2 linked regions of the Kluyveromyces lactis genome follow. The protein of the gene in region 1 interacts with the protein of each later gene in a pairwise test. Links are inferred from orthologs where the notes say so. Each region holds a gene or a part of one and is shown on either strand. Other genes may lie near its edges.

Region 1 (12,305 bases):
ACTCATGATTTTTTTCTTTTCAATCTGATCTTTTCTCGACTGATTTTCACGCCTTTAGGCCTGGCATCAAGCCTGCTCTAGGAAAATTTTTGTATGTGATTTGATTCTATGTAGAGTTGATTGTGATGAGATAATGAATCTAACTATTACTACAGGAGGTGAATGCTGACACTGAAATAACCTGCTAAAATCTGGGACGTGTATTCGACATATATATACAAGGTGATGGGGGGATTGAACTTGATAAAAGGTTGTTTTTTTTTAGTCATTTCCGCCGATGTGTTATTTTGTACTGGATTCAATGAGAAGAGGGTTTAATGTGATCCTTCTTTCTTCTCAGATCTCTCCACTGGCAGAGTTTTCATACGTCTCTCCAAATAAGCATCCTTGTCCTTCAGTTTCTTTGTGTATTCAGTTTCTTTTCTACCAGGATACAAGATACGCTTGTCCAATTCAGACAACTCTTGTTCTTGAATAGGCTCCACTTGTTCAACGTTAGTGTGAGCCTTCCAGATGTGACGGATTTCACCCACACAATGCATACATAGCGTATGTGCCTTCTTGTAATGCCCACATGAAGGGCATTTGTTCAAATGGTTGATCATTTTCAGCTGTTTGTCTCCAGGCGCATATAACTTTTGTCTCTTCTTCTGATGCGACACTTTCTTCTTGGGCACAGCTAGAAGGATCCCGTTATTCGTAAAGTAATCCGCTTGAGGTGAAGACTTTTCACGTTGGTTTCTTTCAAGCAATTCCAGCAGTTTCTGTGGCAATGCAGTACCAGCTGCTGGAGTGCTCCAACGAGGCAATATTGATGTCGCTGTTTCCAGCAACACTCTGCTAAAAGATTCCGTTACAGCTCCAAAAGACATCCTCTAATTATTTTCGCTGCTGGTATGATACTATGATGAAGAGGAGAAAGGATAAGTTCAATCGATAGGGACAGATACTAGTTTCTCTAGGTCGCTCGTCTAACTCTGTTTGAACTTCGTCAATTCAAATTGGTATTGACGAATTGGATTATAAGAAAGAATTTTCAACATTACCCTGATTTGGTGATGATCTGTGTCCCTTTTTCGATTTCGATGAAAAAGACGAAAAATCACAAAAACTAAAAATGGAACTCGAAACGAAATAAGTGTGTCAACAAAATATAAGTAAGGAATCAGATCTTGTATTCTTTAGAATAAGTAAGATTGTGATTACTTTTTTTTGACGTTTCTGTGGTTAATTGCTACTCATTGTTTGAATTTTTGTTATTGCGGTTAATTGTTTTTATAACTTAGAGGTTTTTCATTATTTTAACTTCCAAACACTAAAACACGTAAAGCTTTGATCATTTGGATTTGACTTATATACATCTCTACTACGCGAAAGGAATTATTAAAGGTAAAATACACGCATAAACAAAAACAATGGCATCTAGTACTGCTGCAGCTGGTATGACTTCTTCTTCTGATGGGTTGGCTTTGGTAAATCCATCTTCTTATGTTGGGTTTGATTCGATTACTTCACAGATTGAACATCGTTTGTTGAAGAGAGGATTTCAATTCAACGTTATGGTCGTTGGACATTCTGGTCTGGGTAAGAGTACTTTGATCAACACTTTGTTTGCATCTCACTTGGTTGATTCTTCTACTGGTAAGGACATCACTCAGGAACCAATTAGTAAGACCACCGAGATCAAGGTTTCAACACATTCTTTATTGGAAGACCGTGTACGTTTGAACGTGAACGTGATTGACACTCCAGGTTTTGGTGACCAGATAAATAACGACAAAGTTTGGGAACCTATTGTCAAGTACATCAAGGAGCAACACTCTCAATATTTACGTAAAGAGTTGACTGCTCAACGTGAAAGACACATTGTAGACACTCGAGTACATGCAGTGTTATATTTCATCCAACCTAACGGTAAGGGTCTAACAGAACTTGACGTTGCTGCTTTGAAGAGATTGACAGAAATCGCTAATGTTATCCCGGTGATCGCTAAAGCTGATACTTTGACGTTGAATGAGAGAGCTAACTTCAGAAACATCTTACAAGAAGAATTTAAAAAGTACAATTTCAGAATCTATCCATATGATTTAGACGATCTGACCGATGAAGAAGTGGAACTGAATAAAAGTATAAGATCTATTATTCCATTTGCCGTTGTAGGATCTGAAAAGGAGATTACAGTGAACGGTGAACTAGTAAGAGGAAGAAAAACTCGTTGGGGTGCCATCAATGTCGAAGACATCAACCAATGTGAGTTCGTATATTTAAGAGAATTTTTGATCAGGACACACTTGCAAGATTTGATTGAGACTACAGCTTTGATCCACTACGAAAGTTTCAGATCCAAGCAATTGATTGCTTTGAAGGAGAACGCCAACGCTAGAACTTCTGCACACATGTCTCAGACATCAACAACAATGCTGCGTTAATAGGTGGAAAAAAGAGCCGGGAAGACTTCTAGAAGAAACGGCGTCTTTATTTCAAAAAAATGTAGCGTTTTACCGGTACGCAAGAGCTGTGCCAATTATTTTTTTTGTGTTCTTCACTGGTTTGAATCCTGCCCTAGTAAAATGTCGCTTCATTTCCATATATCTTATTGATAATTGGTAATGTCTCTCTATTTCTACTTGTCAAACGTCTCTTAATCTCTTTTTTATATATCACATTCTCTTTTTAGGATTTATAAACCCCATTAGTTAACTATAATACTACATCACGTATAACCAACTGGTAATTAAAGTCTAAGAAATTGGACGGTGCTGTTGTCCTCCCATTTTTGTACTGAGCAGATGTATGCGAATAAATTAGTGTAGACAAGCTCCAGAGTAATCTACAATGTATCATCACTGCATATTAGTGTCTACATGAAGACATTCAGTGTTTAAATTTTATTCCAGATACTAAAATGTTCTATTTTGTCATATCCTCTGGAATCTTTTTTTTATTGTGCTCTTCTACGACTTCTGAGTAGAATGGAGTCTACAGACATTTGGCAGGAGTTTATGGAAGTCCTTAATGTCTTTATTCTGCTTAGAGCGTTTCATATAAAATTCACTATCAATGTATTTTCTGCGCATGGAAAAACGAATAATAAAGCATCGGACACCGTCCAAAACTCGATATACGCTTTCAATATTTGTATGATTGGTTTGGGCATGCAAAGATATGGGCCTTTCACAAAGTGATATTTTGGTCATCTACTAGTTTTGACAACTTGGGAAAATGTTAAAACTAGGATGCTGATTCAGCCTTTCCAGTGCACATCGATGTTCTCTGAAAATAATAAATAGAGTTAGCAACTATCCTTGGGGAAAGAACTCCAGTAAAATATTCTGCAGGATGCATTCATGACTCTTGTAATCCATACTAGGTTTAACGAAATATTTGCTGTTGATCACATTCTAGTAGTGAGTGAATTACAAATTTCTTGTGCGCTGCAATATTCATATAACGAGTAAAATGTCTTGAAGGCAAAGCAAGTTATTACACTGCACTAAAGCATAGATCAAACAGTCCACAGATCCGATAACGAATTCCTTTAACGCTCTATCATTTCTAGCCGTCAATTTTCGATAAGTATCAACGCCCTAGGAAAAAAACCAACGCTGCCAATGGGACATTCCATGGTGGATTTTTGGCTTATGGTTGTTGCGGAACTGTTTACGGCTACACTCCAACACATTCGCACACTCTCAGTATGTGTTCGTTACTTGATATCTTCGCAACATTCTTACAGTTTACAGTTTACAGTTACTGTCCGCAATCACTTAACTTATACTTCTATGCCGATCAAGGTAGCACCATTTTCAATGATACATCGAAGAAAACCTCACGCTAGCAGATGATTCGGAAATTAGTTGATCATGAATATCCAGTTCTATGTTAGTTAGGGTTTTTCGCACTGACCTAGCTACATATGTCGATAATACTTCTCATGAACGACAAATTAATGGAACATAATACTACAAATGGTCCTAAATCAATAATAAATAAAGAATAATTTTAATAAAATAATTATAAAATAAAAAAAATATAAAAGTGTGAATGAAACAGATAAGGAATAATTAAACAACACCAAAGTCACAGATATTAGTAGTCGTCAGGTACTCAATCCAATGTGTTCCTCTTGTACCTTTCTACTGCTTTAGAATTGTTCTTTAGCTAACAATAAAGTGTACTTTATGCCTTATTATTTATTATGCACGTGACAATAAATAATACATTTTTATAAACTTATAATTTTTATATTTAATTTTTAAAATAACTTTATAATTATCATATTTTAATTATATATATTAATTTTTGTTAACTCTAGGTTATTTATAAAATAGAATATTTTTGATTACTACTCTAAAATTTAAATATTAAAGATGTTTTATTGTTCCGAAAATAAAAATATTAATGAAATATTTTGGAAATTTAATAATATTTTTCTGCTTGATTATATTGATGTTTTTGATAAAGGCGTTTCTATGAATCTGGCGTTTATAAGGTACATATTGTTTTCTATGATAGAAAGAGCATCCCTTCCACATCTGAGGTTAAATTCTGACCATTTGGATAATCCAACATCAGTAAATTAGCTTCACGGATAAACGTTAATGCTTTGCATATTCAATACTGTTTTTTTTTTTCTGTATACAAAATATTATCTTCATTTCTATTTACATTTTGAACTTAATAAAATAAAACTTAGGATCCTATCTAGGACTATAGAATGTCTCCGATAATACCTGATGCTTTTTGATAAGTTTCCAAAAGGTTGACGCATTTTTCGCGGTCCTGTGCTAAAGTCTGATCTTCCATCAAGAGTTCATCGAAGAGTGACTCTTTGTAAAGCTTTGTGACTAGTCTATTTTGGACAGATTCTTTTGAATAGTTTACTAGCAAGCACATTACAGCCTTTGGGACCTGATCTTCGATCATCTCTCTAACAATGGAAAAGTATGAGACGATCAATCTTCTAATTAATTCACATTCCAACTCTTCACGTTCGGTAAATTCGGTAGCAGCTTCAGATTTGGTATGGGCATCTGCGCTCTTGTCTTTAAAATCTTGAATTTGCAAATTTTCGATGTCATAAGAATTATCAGAGCCGTTATAATCAATTCTCGAAGAAAGCTTTGTATTGGAACTCTTTTGTTCTTTGCCGAAGAAATAATTCAAGAAGGAATCCTTTGATTGCTTCATATCATTTTCTTCTTCAGAGTCGTGCTCGCTGGTTGCTGTGGAATCAGAATCAAGCTTCAAATCTTGTTCTGTCTCATCTACTGAATCGGATTTCTTCATTTCACGTTCAGCTTGTTGTTGCTCTAACAGTAGCTGCTTCTCATATTCCCTCTGTTTCTGAAGTCTTTCCGTTTGCTTTTTGTTCTTTCTAGCTTCAACAATCTCGGCCATGGCCTCTGTAGCACTTGGGAAATTTGGATGATTTGTGTTAATGTACGCTTTATGAATATCAATCAAACTTTCGACGTAAGAACGAGTTGGTCCCAATCTTTCCCTCAACAGTTCACTGACAACCTCGACTAGCTTACTTTGTAGTTTTGGATATCTTGCTAGCTCAGGAGAGCCACAGTTGTGACATATCTTCATCAATTCTTCATACACCAATTCTACGCAACGTTGAGATGGATCTAGAAGTAATCTGATTTGTGGTTTAACCAATAGATCGAATGCTAATTCTGGAACAAACAATGAAGGTCTTGGCCCAGTTGAGTTTCTTATAGCTGTTCTGATGTCCGTCATTGATAAGTTAGAAGTAGGGTTGATGAAGTTTAGAGATTTCCCGAATAGAGTGTTATAGATGTAATAGATTCTGGCACCACCACAAAGTTCTTTAGTGCTTATTTCCGAGGAAGTACCATCGATGGAAGAAATGAATTTAGTAGCAAATTTATTCATCAATTGCAAAACAAGGCCAGCTCTATTTTCTTTCGTGATAACTTTATCGTCACCATATGTAGCCAATTCTTGTTCGGTTTGTCCGATGAGGGTATTTAATCTGGCTTTGATATCTGGCAATTTATCTCTAATGTGATTCATCAAGACTTGGTTCAATAATTTAGCCAAGTATCTGGTTCCGCATCTAGTTGAAATAGTTCTGTAAACAGGATGTTTTGCAAAGAATTGTTCTTCTGAGTTCAAAGCTTCTTCAACACTTTTGTTTTGTTGGATGTCTTGCTGGGATCTGTTCACCACACCGACAAATCCTAGCTTCAAAGGATACAACTTCCCTGACAAAATATCCAAAGCATTAGTGCCTTGGTCCATAAGATCCAATTTAGTAATAACACCAATAGTTCTTTTCCCATGGGGATCTATCTCTCTGGCCAATTTCAAAGATTCTGAATTAACGAGATCGACATTAGCAGGGGAGATGGCCAAGATGATACAGTTTGGCTTGGCAACATATTCCAAGATCAAATTCTCGATTTGTCTTTCAATATCCGGTGGCTGTTCCCCAATCGGAACCTTAGTGATACCTGGTAGATCCACTAAAGTCAAGTTCAAAACATGCGGAGAATATATTTTCAAGTTGATTGGAATTCTGCTTATTCCCTTCTCTTTCCCTGCAATCCTAGCAGTTTCGTTTTCAATTTCCCTTCTAATTTCAGAAAAGTCGTAGAATCTACGACCTGGAATATGTAAAAACTCACCCCATTCATTCTTTATTTCAGGCTTATAGTTTGAATTCTTTCTCAAATGATCTTCCAAGGTCATTTCCTTCTCCGTGCGGGCATCTGGCTCGTCATTAACCTGTTCAAGTGACGTAGATGAAGAATTGTCATAATTATAAACCAATGGAGAATTCGGATCAATATTATTCAACTGAAGAACTAGAGGACGTCTGGTAACAATACCAGTACCACGAGGTAAGAAATCTCTCCCGACCAACGTTTCCAAGATCGAAGACTTACCAGAAGATTGCGATCCAATAACAGCTAAAACCGGTAGATCCAAACTGTCAATGCCTGCATCGTACATAACATCCTGTAGCTTATTCACCGTAGGAATCAAATCTTCTAGACTTGACATCTTCAGAGTTACTTGTGTACTATACTCCGACCTAATTAACCGTTCTAATAGACTAGTTTAAGGTTAACAGGATCGCATCTAATATCTAACCAATCAAAGATACACTCAAACGCAATATTTAACCATTTCATTGGATCAAATTTCAAATAATTATTCTCAATGCAATAGGTATTTTTTATTATTTATTTATTTATTTTTATTTTTATTTTTATTTTTATTTTTATTTTTATTTGATTTAATTTGTTACATTTTTATTCTCTGTTTGATTTCTGCTGAAAATTGACTTCCAATATAGAGATCCGCTGTGATGTACGCGCAAATTGTCCTGAATCCATTATGTAGTATATATATATCAGCACCGTCACACTACGATTTAGGTTTCCTATGGACACTTAGAGTGTTTATTACGTTAATAGTGTTTATTTCAGGCCGTTTTGTAGTAGCGATCTTGTGGTGGTTTCCAATAACTTTTATCATCTTCGTGGAGTAATGCATGTCAAAAATATCTCGAATGTTCATGTATGCTTCTTCAGCACCTTCTTCAGTGTCATATTCTTCTCCAGTTATGTAGTTCTTCAGATTTTTAAAGTTCTTCTTCGAGGTTGGTATAATTATATCAGTCCGTTCTGGTTCATTGCAACGGCCGATGTATTTTCCTGACACTCCAATGACAGACACAGTTGATCCCAGTCTGAACTCTTGCCTTGCTTGCAATTCTGTCCAGAATGTTAACACATTGACTTTAGAAATTCGTCCATCACTGATCAGATGGTCAAGGAATCTGCCCTTGGGGTCATCAGGGAATAATGGTATCCTGTATAATGCAATGTCTTGCGGACTTTCAGAGAAAATGTCTCCTACGGTCCAATTTTGATATGCTGTGTTTCTCAAATAGTTGGAAATTACTCTTTTCTCTTCTCCCGGTATTTGTAAGGTTGCCTTTGTTTTATTATCGAAATCTTCGACAACTATTTGGTCTACAATCTTTAACCACCATTTGAGCAATTTGTCACCACTTAGGACGTGTTTCCTTGGGTTTTTAGATGAGTTTGAAAACAAATACTGCGGCTCTGCCCTGGTAAAAAGACTTACCTTTGTGACAATTTCCGTCGGAACCGGGAATGAAACGTATAAATCTTGGTCTGGGATTTTAACCCTTGAAGTTATCCCCTTCGAATCCAACGGTCTGTTGGATAATATTTCTAACGCTCTCTGTACTGATGTACTTCTCTTTATAATCTTTGCACCGCTCAGTGCTTTCCTTATCAGCGGTTTTACCGCCCGCAAATAATGTCCTGGACTAATTGCCAGAATATATGCAATTATTGACTTAGTTATCTGACCAATGTCAAGTCTTAGATCGCAATATCCGTTTGTATCTGCTTTGGAGACGAACAAGAGCCTTTCTACGGGACCATTATTGGCAGAATTCAAACTGAAATAAACAACAATTTCAAGAGCAAAAACAACCTTCTCTTCAAAGCATAATGCGACGAAATGTTGTGTCTTGATGGTCTTCACCGTTTTTCCATTAACGTCTTCAGCTTCGCGTTTTGGAAAAGTTATTGGCGAGGTTTCTCGTGGAATTGACTGGAGATTAATGATTTCGAACTCATGACCGAACGGAAGTGCATCTTTAATGTAACATTCTAAGGACATACTACTATATCATAATATCTGCTGGGCTTTTCTATCAATTAACAATTCAAGTTCATTTCTATATTTTTGCATAGCTAAGAGTGTATTAATGATCCGTTGTACTTTTTTATAATGCCTTTCTGATAATCTTAACTACTGAGAAAGTTTACCAATAATGGAAAGCCGAAGGCAGAATACCTCTCAGGACCGAACGCCCCTTAAGATTGGTCTTGATGATAAGGAAACCGAGGTTTCTCAGATTTATTCTTCTTATATACCAATTTTATTCTTTAAACTAATATACTTTTGCTTACAGAAGACGGGTTAAGACCGCTTTATCGTCTAATCTACAGGTTTTCATACTCATCGGGATACACAATTAAACGTTCCACACCTTCAGCAGTAAGGACAACCATTCTAATGACACCACCAGATGAACCATCCCATTTGATGGCTTGTGATAGAGAATGTTTTACAAATTCGATTGTTTCTTCTTTAGTCATATCTTCCTTATAGTTCTTGTCACAGTAACCATATATGAAAGCAGAACCAGAACCAGCAATTGAGTACGACTGCTTGTGCACAGAACCACCAAGAGGTATACTATACACCTCTCCTTTGTTTTTTTCATCGTAGCCCGCCACTATAATACCTGCTGTGAGATGATCCTTGTTCTCGTAACATAATGTCTTGAAGATCGATGCAGCAACCTTGGTTGTAGGTTCTCCATATTGTGAGGTGTACAATTCTAGATGGTACTGTACAATATCGGCAACAGCCTGAGTGTCTGCTGCTGAACCTGACCTACAACACCAGATTTTATCATGAACCTTTGTTAGTTTATCTGTGACACGGTTGGCAATATACGCACCAGTAGTTGTTCTGGAATCTGCCCCTAAGATCACACCATCTTTGAAAGTCACGGCCATACTGTTAACATTAATTAAGTTTAGTTAGTATTCACTGATATCATTAAAACCGATTGATTCGATTGTGGGAAAGAGGAATCTTAACGTTCCCTTATTGATACATACATTGAAGTACCTAGACTCACTTCGCCCTTTTTCAAGCGGTTCATATCAACTTGAATTCCATCCATTTTCGATTATATTTGGGAATGATTTGATACAGTTGCTCACTGATGATACTCAATCCTGTGAATATCGTCTTTTAGGCGGTTGCATTCCTTCAATGTTGTATCTTTCTGTCAAAGGTTTGCCACCCGCCAAAAGATTCAGTTATTCCTTAATATTTTGGCATTATCAACATAGCCGGGTAACAGAATAATGATAATAATACAAATACAAACTGAGAATGTACTTAGCTACATAACCGGCTTTGATGCAAGTAGAACCTTACGATGGGACGCAAGTGTGGATCAGACTAGACTCATTGAATCGGTCTGGATCTTCTTCTAGTTGGAGAATCGTCACGTTCGGGCAGAGAATCGCCTTCCAAGAAGTCGAGATCAACTTTTAATTTATCTGGATCTGGTCCTTCAAATGGCTGAGGCGATGGAAATCCGAAAAGGCTTGTTTCTGGAATTTTGTTGAAGCTGATGTTTCTTGTTTTTCCCGCTAACCTTTTATTCACACTCAATAGATATGTAGCCTGTGCGCCTGTAGTGTCCTTTGCAGCTGTGTTTCGCTGATCACTTAATCTCGCCTTTACAGTGCTATCCAGCACATTTGTTGTCTTGATTGGGCTTGGTATTGCTCCCCGGGCCCTACTAAACCTATTCCTTATTCTATCCATTTTATTTCTTTTAACTCTTGTGGAGCCAGGTATCGTTACCGCAGCATTATTAGGTGATTTCATGGGAGTTTGAAATGTCAACTCATCATTTTGGGGAGAATAGCTAGCTAGTTCGTTACCAGACGAATAATTTACGATTGAAAACGCTTTCTCCTTCCATAAACTCATAATAGCTCGAAGGTTAGCTCTGTTCCATCTCACTCTAAACATGGCAACTGATTCTTCATTACGCTTAAGTTTTAACACCTTAACGCTCCACTTGTTGGTCCATTTCAGTAACAACTTAACCTGCTTTTCTTCGACATACATGGACAACCTAGAGTCCTGAATTTGAAGTGCCTCAAGCTTTCTAAGAATAGAATCAAAAGCATTGGAAACAGATATGCTGTCATGAATTTCGGCAGCCTCTGTATGCATTAATTTTATGTTGGAATATTTCGTTGTCCATTGGAGCATAGTATTCTTCAGAGAACTCATATCGGAGCTCTGTTCTGCGATAGATGCACATTCAACTGTGTAGAAGCGAGAGCGTTTCATCCATGCTGAAAGGAATTTTTGGTTAAATTGTAAAGATCTTCTATCTTCAAACTTGTCCAGCAACATTTCAAGATTAAGTAGCCTTTTAGATTCCAGCCGGGTCTTCCAAACTTTCCACAAATTTTCAACGAGCATTTTACTGTTACCTTTAGAGAGTTCAATCGACAAACGAGTTTTCATACGAGTATCGTTAATTGAACGCTTGATAATGGTAATAAAGCGCAGCTTCATGAAAACTTCTGCTTTCCTTTGTGATGAAAGCAATAGTTTATAACGATTAATCCAAACCATAAAATGCCTCTTACTGATATCATTATCATAACATCGAGCTGAAAGATTCCCAAGATCTTTCAGAGAATGCTGTTTATTTTTAACAACATTGTAATATCTCTTAAGGATTAAAGAATCAAATTCCTGAGCAAGGGCGTTCAGCTCAAATTTCTTACGCCAAAGTTTCAAAGCTTTCGAGTATTTGGCTTCTTTTATTGAAGAGTTGAATTGGGCTGCTCTGCATTTCAATGTGATGGAATGGATGAATTTTTTCTTCAAAAGTGAGGTGTAATGAGAATTCGCTGTTGCGTAACTTTCCGATTTTAGTTTCCATTGAGAAAAGTAAAAGCGCACAATCTTTGTGTTCTGTTGAACGACGTAATCATGACTATTAGTTCTTTCTTCGAAGCGTTTTTGCCATACATATAAAACATATCGTTGCAGAGATTCAGTGTTGCACTCTTGTACCTTCGACTCGACATTAACCAATTTATCTGCTAGTAAAATCATTTCAAAAAACCTTCGTTTGATGAATATATTACTTTTTTCTATGAGTTTCAGCTCGTATGCCTCTTTCTTTTGATATTGCGAGATCCATTTATTCAAAAACGGACTTAGATGAAAGTTTCGTTCTGAGAAAGTCGCGAGTTCTCTTAGGTATATTTCATGTGCATACTTCTTTTTCCATTCTGTGAAGCCTTTGCAAAGTAAGTATCGTTTCATTGTCGTTGGATTATAATGACCTTCACACATTTTTAGCTTCCACAACTTGAACGATTTCTGAAGGAGATGCTTTTGATTGACATTTTTCGTTCTGTTGAAGCATTGCGTTAACCTCTCGTGTTTCGCTTTTATGTTTGCAAAGGTATTATCCAAGAAAAAGTTATCAGCAATCTGCGATTTTGTATCTATTTGATGGATCCTATCAAGCCATGCATCAAAAAAACCTGTCTTGAGTCTCTGGTTGTATACTTCGTCTCCGTTTTTTACCCATTCCCGGCATTTGATATCAGATGTTTGGACCCATCGTTGAAAGAATTTTTTCTTTACGCACTTATTCCATATCT
Region 2 (9,268 bases), about 810 kb from region 1:
CAAAATGATTTGCCATTCAGCATCAACGATAGCTTGGTAATCTTCGACATGTTCAACTCTCACTTCTGCATTATCTTTTTCTGCCTTTAGTTCTAATTCAACGTTTAGAGAAAGGATCTTAGGATTCTTGAAAGTCTTTGGTTGTTGTTCGAACCCAGCGTACGAGAAAGTCTTTTGGAAGGCGACACCGTCAACGAATAAAGAATCTTCCATAGCCCCACCAGAAATCTTTTTGATACCAATCAATTTATCATCAAGATCTTCTTGATCTAATGTTAACACTGCATCCACACACATCTTCACAAAGAAATCAGCGTTATTATTGATTAACTTAGAGGACATCGCGGTTCTAGCACAACGTTCTAGCAAATCTCTTGAATTGTTTTCATTGGAAATATCAACCGCAATTTCATTGATTTTAGCTACAGCCAGTTCTACTGCCTTTCTGTAACCCTTCATGATAATATGAGAAGAGATTCCTTCTTCTAAGAAAGGCTTTGCTTCCTTCATCAATTCACCAGCTAAAATGGTCACACTTGTGGTACCATCACCAACTTCAGCATCCTGAGCTCTGGAAATGTCAACTAGTGTCTTCGCTGCTGGATGAACAACGTCTAATAATTTAAGAATTGTAGCACCATCGTTGGAGATAGTCGTCTTACCGTTAGATGTCACAATCAATATATCAGAACCTAACGGACCCAAAGTTGGTTTCAACGTATCTTGAATTGCCAAACAGGCATTGATGTTAGAGATGATTTGGCCTCTACCCTGGGAGGAATCGGTTCCCTCCTTAAGGACAACAATAGTAGGTGTTTGATTGCCAAAGTTCATTCTCAATAGCTCCTTGGTTGCTGGTGCAATAGCTCTGTTTTGCCACCCGATGAACGAATATCGTAACAATTTCTCGCTGTGTTTGATTTAAAAACAGAGTAGTAATTAATTTTTTATTAAATTCGATTTCGTTGAAATTTCATATAAAAGTAACAGGCAACAGTAATATTGGAAAACAAACGAAACAAAAAGAGGGCCAAACTAGAGTGCGTCTTAGTAATTGGTGACAACCAGGTCCACTTTATATAGAAACAACAGAGAGTAAGACGGTCTCTACAGAAGATAATATTTGAGTTGCACCGGTATATTTAGTGACGGCGGCGGTTAACGCTTTTTTTTCCTCTCTGAAACGTCGTTGAACGCTGAAACATGCGCGTAGCAACTTCGAGATGCTGTTTTGCATGAACATGGACGTCTTTAACATCTTGAATAATTTGTATACCGTTGTAAAGCCATATATTGCAAGTGATTATTCTAATATAATCTCTTTATGAGACGGTATCTACATTATAGTGTGGACATTCTCAACTAATAATCACGAAATTGGTTGTGTGGCCGAGCGGTCTAAGGCGCCTGATTCAAGATACCTATCTTAACCAACCTTACAGTTGGGAACACTCAGGTATCGTAAGATGCAAGAGTTCGAATCTCTTCGCAACCATTTCTTTTTTGTTAAATCTTAGATTTTTTTGGCTTGGAAGCATGTCTTGTTAGTGGCTTGTAGCTAGAAACATTCTACTGCACGCGAAAATAACTAGCAAGGTATTATGAGGATGGTCTTTTTATACTAGTGAGTTATATACAAGTGATCACCTACATTGTATGCTAATTATTTTTCTATTTAATTTATGGGGAATAGTGAAGAATATTTATTATTTTTGAAGTAATGTGCCAGATGACGGCAAATGTCATAACTCTCATTTCAGCTGAAACAATTTTGTAGGTCTAAATTGCCCAGGTGTTGATGTCACCATTCGAGCGCCCTTCTACCAAATATCCGTGTTTGTATCTAACAAAATCCACGTTACCTTGTTCAGGATCATCTTCGCCGCAGAACCAGTGGTTACCGTCTTTCCTGTTGTAAATTTTCACAGTAGGCTCATTGTTTGAAATTACAATCTTATCCAGATCGAAATGTAGAGAAGTGATCGGTTGCTCATATGCAAATACGTCAGAAAGTATACCAGTTCTTAAGTCCCATATTCTTATACTTCTGTCCATTGCACCTGTAACTAGATTGACCGAGTCGAACTGAAGGGAGGTGATGGCGTCAGTATGACCTTCTAACATACGTACTACTTTCCCGGATCTTAAATCCCAAAGCCTTACGATACCATCTTTAGTACCTGTCGCCAAGGCAGCATCGAAGCATTGTAAAGCTCCAATAGCCGGCGGTTCCTTGGTTAGAAGTACACTATTACGAAGAGGGATGTTTCTTTGAGACCGCATAGGGCCAGTTGCGAAAGATATATCTATGGTTTGGGTGCACTTACCACTATTCAGATCCCATTGACGTACTGTCCTATCCTGAGAACCAGAAACCAAATTGTCACCGTCAAAACTTATTGCGGTGATTTCATCAACATGAGAATCAAAGGTATATAAACATGCATCATTATCTTCAGATGAATTTGACGCTTCATCAGCCATGGCCTTATCGATATCCCACAATTTCAGAACTGCGTCCCGACCACCAGTAATCAGGGTGCTATATTGATCAATTTGCATGCAACTGATAGATGCTAAGTGTCCATGCAATGTAGCAATTTGTTTTTTTTTACTTAAATCCCATACTTTTACCGAGTGATCTAGACTGCCAGCAGAGCACATAGTACCAAATGGCATATCAAAATCTAGGCAAGTGATATCTTCATCATGGGCCTTAGGAAGGCTTGTAATCTTAGATCCGGAATCATAGAACTGTTGTAAAGTTGGATAAGTTTTACGGCGGCGATTACGGTGAGAAACACCAACATCTTTAATTTTTTTGGAAGTACTATGTTTCTTCCTTTCGGAAATATCCGATTTCTTCTCGTGGTCTTGTAGCTGCTGATAGATGGATTTGGAAAGCAATGGAGAGTGCTCTTCTTCTTTGTTTTCTAAAGGAGTGGTAGCCGCAGTTTCATATGTTTCGTTAGTTTCTCCAGTTTTAGGCGAAAGTTCAGATAATCCATTTATATTTTCTTCATCCTCCGATGAGTATTCTTTATCCATGTTGTACTCTATAATCATATCGATTCTATCCTTAACGTTGTTCAAATGCTTCTCCAAAAACAATTCATGCTGCTCAATTTTAGCCACTCGCTTGAATACTAGTTCACGCATCATTTTTAACTTTTCCAGCTTGATATCTAGCTCTCTTATTTCGCTAGCTGCTAGATTTTTCTGGATTTCAAGTAAATCCAGGTTATCGGTGATTGACCTCGAGGCATCCTTCAAGAAGGATGCGGAGTAAGAATGCAGAAGTTTATCAGCTTTTAAATGGTCTGGCAAACTAAACTCTTCCTCTTGTTCTTCTTCTTCAGCGTAAACTGGGATGGACTCAGAGTCTGTTAAGGGTTTCATATCGCTATTCATTATAAGTTTTTGCTGTAGTTCTATCGTTTCATTAATAACAGGTAAAGATGCTTCAAATCCTTGAAATAACGTCGGTTCTTGCTTTTTTGACTTTGCAGATCTTTTCTCGCCATTTTCTGTTATCATGTTCTTGTTCTGAGGTATAGTGTCTCGTGGGGCGTCTTCAAGTAGATCATCACTCAAGTAACTTAAAACTTTGAATGTTGTTTTTGGATCACTATAAGAGTTTTTAAAGAACTCTTTGCTATTGGAATATATATCTTGGAAACCTGTATTCTTGCCTTTAGATAATTTCACGTCGTGGCGTACTTTAACTAGTGATGATCCCCCACCTGCATTAGTAATTGTCTCATGAAGCAATTTCTTATATGGACTACTGTATGAAAGAATTGTGTCTTCCATCGGCTGCGACGAGAATAGAACAGACGCCGTGGTAGACAGTGCCTTTCCCAGATTGGCAAACTGGTCTCCCGTATTAGAACTCATAGTTCTGGCACCACTAACACTCTTATCGAGGCTTTTGCTCGCAACATATGTTTCTTTAAGATTTGAAGTTGTAATAGGAACTAACAACTCTTTGTTTCCATGTATCTACTTTTTTGTACTCTGAAATTAGAACTTTCATTGCAGCAATAAAATCATATGAAAGAACGAAAACCGTATTCTCTGTAGAAGAGCAAGATGCCGTAGAAATGGAACTACGATATATTTCGTTATCATAAAATTAGAACCTTAATAATACAAAAATGATATATACTGAACTGAAACTTACATGAATATTTCCATTCCAGTGCGAGATTAATTCCCGAAGTGTGAAATATATCTTTCCACTTCATTTCGGCAAGCATATCGGTTTTTCTTGGATATAACTTATTAATGTATCAAATGGATTTTTAGTACCGCTGCTAGATTTCACTTATTTCTCCCTTCCAAAAGGTCCAACTGTTTCTCGAGCTTCTGTATTTCTTTCTCCTCTTTATCGATGAGAGATGATATTGACGTTTTTTCCGGTAACGCTTCGTGTTGGAAGTCTAACTCCTGGATCTCTACTTTCTTCTGAAGTTCATTAATATCAGCTTGTAATCCATTGTATATTTGCATTAGTTTTTCAAATTTCTCCTTGTATTCAGTGAGAGGCCATTGATCTATAATTTCCCGGAACACAGATAATATAATCGAGATTGGGAAATCTTCTACGAAAAGAGTTTTCCTTCTTGATACATCCTCGCCAGTTATCACACTTCCATTCCGCAATGCATGAAGAAATTGCTTGATTTGTTCGTCCTTGCTGAATTTTTTCAATAGCACGTCGTAGATTCCCAGCTCATCGCTGTTACTTCCTTCGAAGATAAAATCTCTTGCAGGTTTCTGTTTCTTTCGGATGACATGATCGTTTTGACTGAGATAAAACCCCTTCGGTATGTAGGTAATAGGTCTTGGATCTGGTAAACATAGTGCTCTGTTCCGTTTCAAAGTTGCTTCCCTCTCCAAGAGATGATCGTATATCCCTACTTTCCCATCCTTACGCTTCATATTTCCATCGTTATCTGTACTGTATAATGACATTTCTTCAATTGAATCGCCATCTCTTATAAGCTTTACTATAAGATCTGAGTACACTTTGCTGTTGCCTGGTACAATCGCATTTCTAAAGATGCCTGGCGGTTTGAAATATAAGGTCGATATTGACTCCGCGGATTTTGATATCTGATCCAGGCAGTAATCTAATGATCCAGACATCCTTTGATGTTGTTAAAAAACACTACACGTACAGATTAGGCACCACCCTCTTTCAGGAAACTGCTATGGAATACAATATTTCATCCAATACTATGTAATTTCTTGAAATACTCCAAATGATTCATTTATCTTTTAACTCGATTATGTTTACATTTTAGTTTTTTTGTTTTCGGTGTTTACGAAATCTTTACGTGAAAAGAGTTGGCATTATGTTAATGGAAAAGGTTGACAGAAGACTTTTAAGGCTCATGCGGCCTTTACATCGGGGTAAGCTAAGCGAGAACTATTGCTTACTTTATTCTATATATGATGATAAATAAACAAGAAAATCAGAATTGGCTATTATTATTCTCTCCATGCGATATAAACCTCATCGGTTCTAAACTTCTGCGTGACAATGGTTTCAGAAAGATCCTTAACAAAGTGGCCTGTTCTGTACTCTAATAGGCCTGCCTGGGCAATCATCACACCATTATCAATACAGAATCTGTCATCAGTTGCGTGTACTTGTCCATTGGACCTGTCTTTACACATTTGGGCCATCATCTCTTGAAGCCTAACGTTGCATCCAACACCACCCACTATTAGCACTTGGTTTGAGTTTACATGGGCCATTGCACGTTCGGTAATCTCCACAAGCATGGCAAATAAATTTTCCTGTAAAGAGTAACATAGGTCTTCTACAGTCACAAGCTGTTCTCCTGTTCTTGAATCAAATAATAATTTATTCTTCAAGTTCTTTTTGAATAGGTCTTTCGCTAAAGTGTCAATATATTGCAAAATACCACTCATTGACAGATCCATTCCCTTAACAGTGTATGGTAATACCACTAATTTTTCTTTATTCTTACACTGTTTAGCCAGTTGTTCAATGTTGTAACCAGGCGATGGTGCATTCGGTATCTTCAAAGTTCTTGCAAATCTGTCTAAACAATTCCCAATGGCGATGTCCAACGTTTCACCAAAGATTCGATATCTTTTCTCGGAGTAAGCAATAACTTGAGTGTTACCTCCACTAACATAGAGCACGACAGGATTTTTAGCTCCTGTGATCTCTCTCCCCATCTCGATATGCCCCACACAGTGGTTAACCCCAACTAATGGTATGTCCCACATCAATGACAAAGTCCTTGCAGCTATAACCACACAATGCAAAGGAGCACCCATTCCAGGTCCTCTAGTGAAACATATCACATCGATCTTTGTGGGATCATCGATCTTGGCCTCCGTTAATGCCTTTCTAATGATTCGTACCACCCAATTCCTATGATGTCTTGCAGTATCTCTTGGTAAAAACCCTTCTCCTGGCGGTGTCACATATGTATCTCTAATATTAGCCAATATTTCAACATCACACTCATACGAAAGGTCACTATCTTCATGTTTTTCTAGCACTGGGTGCTTGATAATACCAACGCCTAACTTGTTGGCAGATCCTTCAAGACCAATTGCCAAATAATAGTTCCTTTTACCTCTTGGTGGAATGCCGTTTAAATTCACCATCTCTTACTGAAAAAAGAATTTTTGACGATAATAGGTATACCTTCAATGAATATCGCACGAACACACGTTGAACTGGTGAGACACACTATATATTCAGGGAGTTGTATTACAGATCAAGATAGTCAACTCATCTCAGTTCAACTTTTCGGTTTTCTCAGATTCCAATTTTTCAAAAAATCATATACACCAATTTTGTGAGTAAAAGATAGCATAGTAAGAGGAGCAACAACAGAAAAAGTGTATCAAACTGCAAGACATAGTCATAGCTGGTCAATCACTCGTTGAGGGGAAAAGATTGTGTACAGAACGTATTTTCAGATTCGATATGAAAAAAGATCTCCGCGACGGGGAATTGAACCCCGATCTCGCACGCGACAAGCGCGAATTCTAACCATTAAACTATCGCGGATTTTGAAATAAAGCACTCACGGTGGGGGTCGAACCCACAATCTTCTGATTAGAAGTCAGACGCGTTGCCATTACGCCACGCGAGCTATTTAATTCGTTGAGTTGCTTGAATTCCCTTTAATTTATGTACGGAAGCCGAAACCACGTGCTAACAATGTGCATCTTTGGATAATTTATTAATGGATTTCACCCTTTGAATCAACGCAAAAATACCTTTTATTAATTGCAACCAGCGGAAATCTTTTTACTACGACAGTGAAACTCCCTGAGCTAATTTTATCTCATTAGCCTCTTTATATTTATCATTAACAACAGAATGTTATAAATACTTCTTCAATATATGAATTAATTGCCATTGGGCAATTAATTGGGGGATAGTATAAACTTTCAGCAATGTTTGATAAAAGACCTTCTAAAATACGTACACCACTGTGAGGTATGAAGCCTCAATCTAGAGGAAGGAGCTGAACATGCAAATCAGTTAGCAACTGAGGTCTTCAAGACTTCATTCGCCGATCACATGACATTCACAGACTCTGTGGACACCTAGAAAAGTTTTCTGCCAAAATTGCGAGGGCGTGTGGTCTAGTGGTATGATTCTCGCTTTGGGTTAGTAGCCTAGCGAAGCTTCGATAAACGAAGTTTAACTACTGCAAAGCATGCGAGAGGCCCTGGGTTCAATTCCCAGCTCGCCCCAGATTTTTTTTAATTTCTGATCTTTTCTACCACTGATTGCAACCCAGTGGAAAGTGTCAAATGAGAATATTTTCGTTCACAAAAGCACGTGATCAGCTCTGTGGCTTCTTGTATATATTAAGCTCTTATTAATAACTGTAACTTTCAACAGTAGAGCAATGAATTTATTCTTATTACAACCTTATCATCTGTTTTATCTTCACTGAAGTGTTTCTTACATTATTTTACACTGGATGACATCGGCATCCGAGTCACTGAATTATCGAATCTCTCTGAATCCGAAACTGAAGTTGTGAGGAAATAGAGTTGATAATGTCATCGGCAATACTATTCGCTTCAAAAAAGTCGTTTCCTGCAGCTCACAATGCTGTGCGAACTAATTGGACCAGATATTCCTCAGCATTGAACACGTCTACAAATCCTGCGATGCAGTTTCCATGCCTAGATAAACTCGAAAAGAAAACTGCAAAGCTTAGAGGAGATGACTCAGATCCTAACACACCAAGCTCCAAGATGTCATGCTCTATGGAAGAGGATGCCACATCCGCATCTTCAAAGAATGACCCAGTTTACGGGAAAGTGAGATCAGGATTTCAGCTTTTCAAATCTAAACAACCTATATTTCTAGACTACGGTGGAGTGCTACCGAATTTTGAGTTGGCATATGAGACCTGGGGCACTTTAAATGAAGATAAATCTAATGCTATTTTAATACATACAGGACTTAGTGCATCGTCACATGCACATTCCTCATCGTCGAACGAAAAACCTGGCTGGTGGGAAGACTTCATAGGGCCTGGAAATTCAATCCTAGACACTGATAAGTGGTTCATTATCTGTACAAATGTATTAGGAGGGTGCTACGGATCTACAGGCCCTTCGTCTCTAGATCCTGGAGACGGGAAACCGTATGCAACGAGGTTCCCAATGCTCTCAATTCAGGATATGATCAGAGCTCAGAAGAGGTTAATTGACTGCTTCGGAATTACCAAATTGAAAGCATCAGTTGGAAGTTCCATGGGGGGAATGCAATCTTTGGCTTATGGTCAACTATTTCCAGATTCAGTGGAAAAAATTGTTTCTGTCTCAGCATGCGCGAGGTCTCATCCATCATCTATAGCAATGAGACATGCACAGAGACAGGTACTAATGGCAGATCCCAATTGGAAAAGAGGATTTTATTATCCAAGTGAAGAGCATCCGGATAGAATACCTCCTCATGTCGGCATGAAATTAGCAAGAGAAATAGCAACTGTCACTTATAGATCAGGCCCAGAATGGGAATCAAGGTTCGGAACAGAAAGATTAGATGATGACAGGTCTCCTGTTCTATGTCCAGATTTTCTTATTGAGACTTACCTGGATCACCAAGGGGAGAAGTTTTCCTTAGAATATGACGCAAACTCATTCTTATACATTTCAAAGACGATGGATTTATTCAGCTTATCAAAGTCCGACCAAGAGCGCAGCCAGAAACGAAGATTGCAAAGTCAAAGAGATTTTGAAAGTG

Evidence for each region.
Region 2: the proteins of DNM1 (region 1) and KLLA0_F21406g interact in a two-hybrid assay, tested with the Saccharomyces cerevisiae proteins (9 studies listed by BioGRID). The link is inferred for Kluyveromyces lactis from reciprocal best matches to the Saccharomyces cerevisiae genes DNM1 and MDV1.

The regions. Positions count from the first base shown.
Region 1 is NC_006042.1:1,182,816-1,195,120, forward strand, and holds DNM1 (dynamin-related GTPase DNM1), read right to left. Parts: upstream 7,039-12,305; coding exon 4,711-7,038; downstream 1-4,710. Other genes in the region: MRPL32 (mitochondrial 54S ribosomal protein bL32m), read right to left, coding at 315-872; septin CDC10, read left to right, coding at 1,416-2,429; H3 histone acetyltransferase RTT109, read right to left, coding at 7,405-8,697; PRE3 (proteasome core particle subunit beta 1), read right to left, coding at 9,024-9,606, 9,711-9,775; SFI1 (Sfi1p), read right to left, coding at 10,066-12,305. UniProt on the Saccharomyces cerevisiae protein: Microtubule-associated force-producing protein that participates mitochondrial fission. Fission of mitochondria occurs in many cell types and constitutes an important step in mitochondria morphology, which is balanced between fusion and fission.
Region 2 is NC_006042.1:1,994,481-2,003,748, forward strand, and holds KLLA0_F21406g (WD repeat MDV1/CAF4 family protein), read right to left. Parts: upstream 3,898-9,268; coding exon 1,780-3,897; downstream 1-1,779. Other genes in the region: chaperonin-containing T-complex subunit CCT7, read right to left, coding at 1-834; SPC34 (Spc34p), read right to left, coding at 4,324-5,151; KAE1 (tRNA N6-adenosine threonylcarbamoyltransferase), read right to left, coding at 5,497-6,654; KLLA0_F21560g (homoserine O-acetyltransferase family protein), read left to right, coding at 8,071-9,268. UniProt on the Saccharomyces cerevisiae protein: Involved in mitochondrial fission. Has a partially redundant function to CAF4 in acting as an adapter protein, binding to FIS1 on the mitochondrial outer membrane and recruiting the dynamin-like GTPase DNM1 to form mitochondrial fission complexes.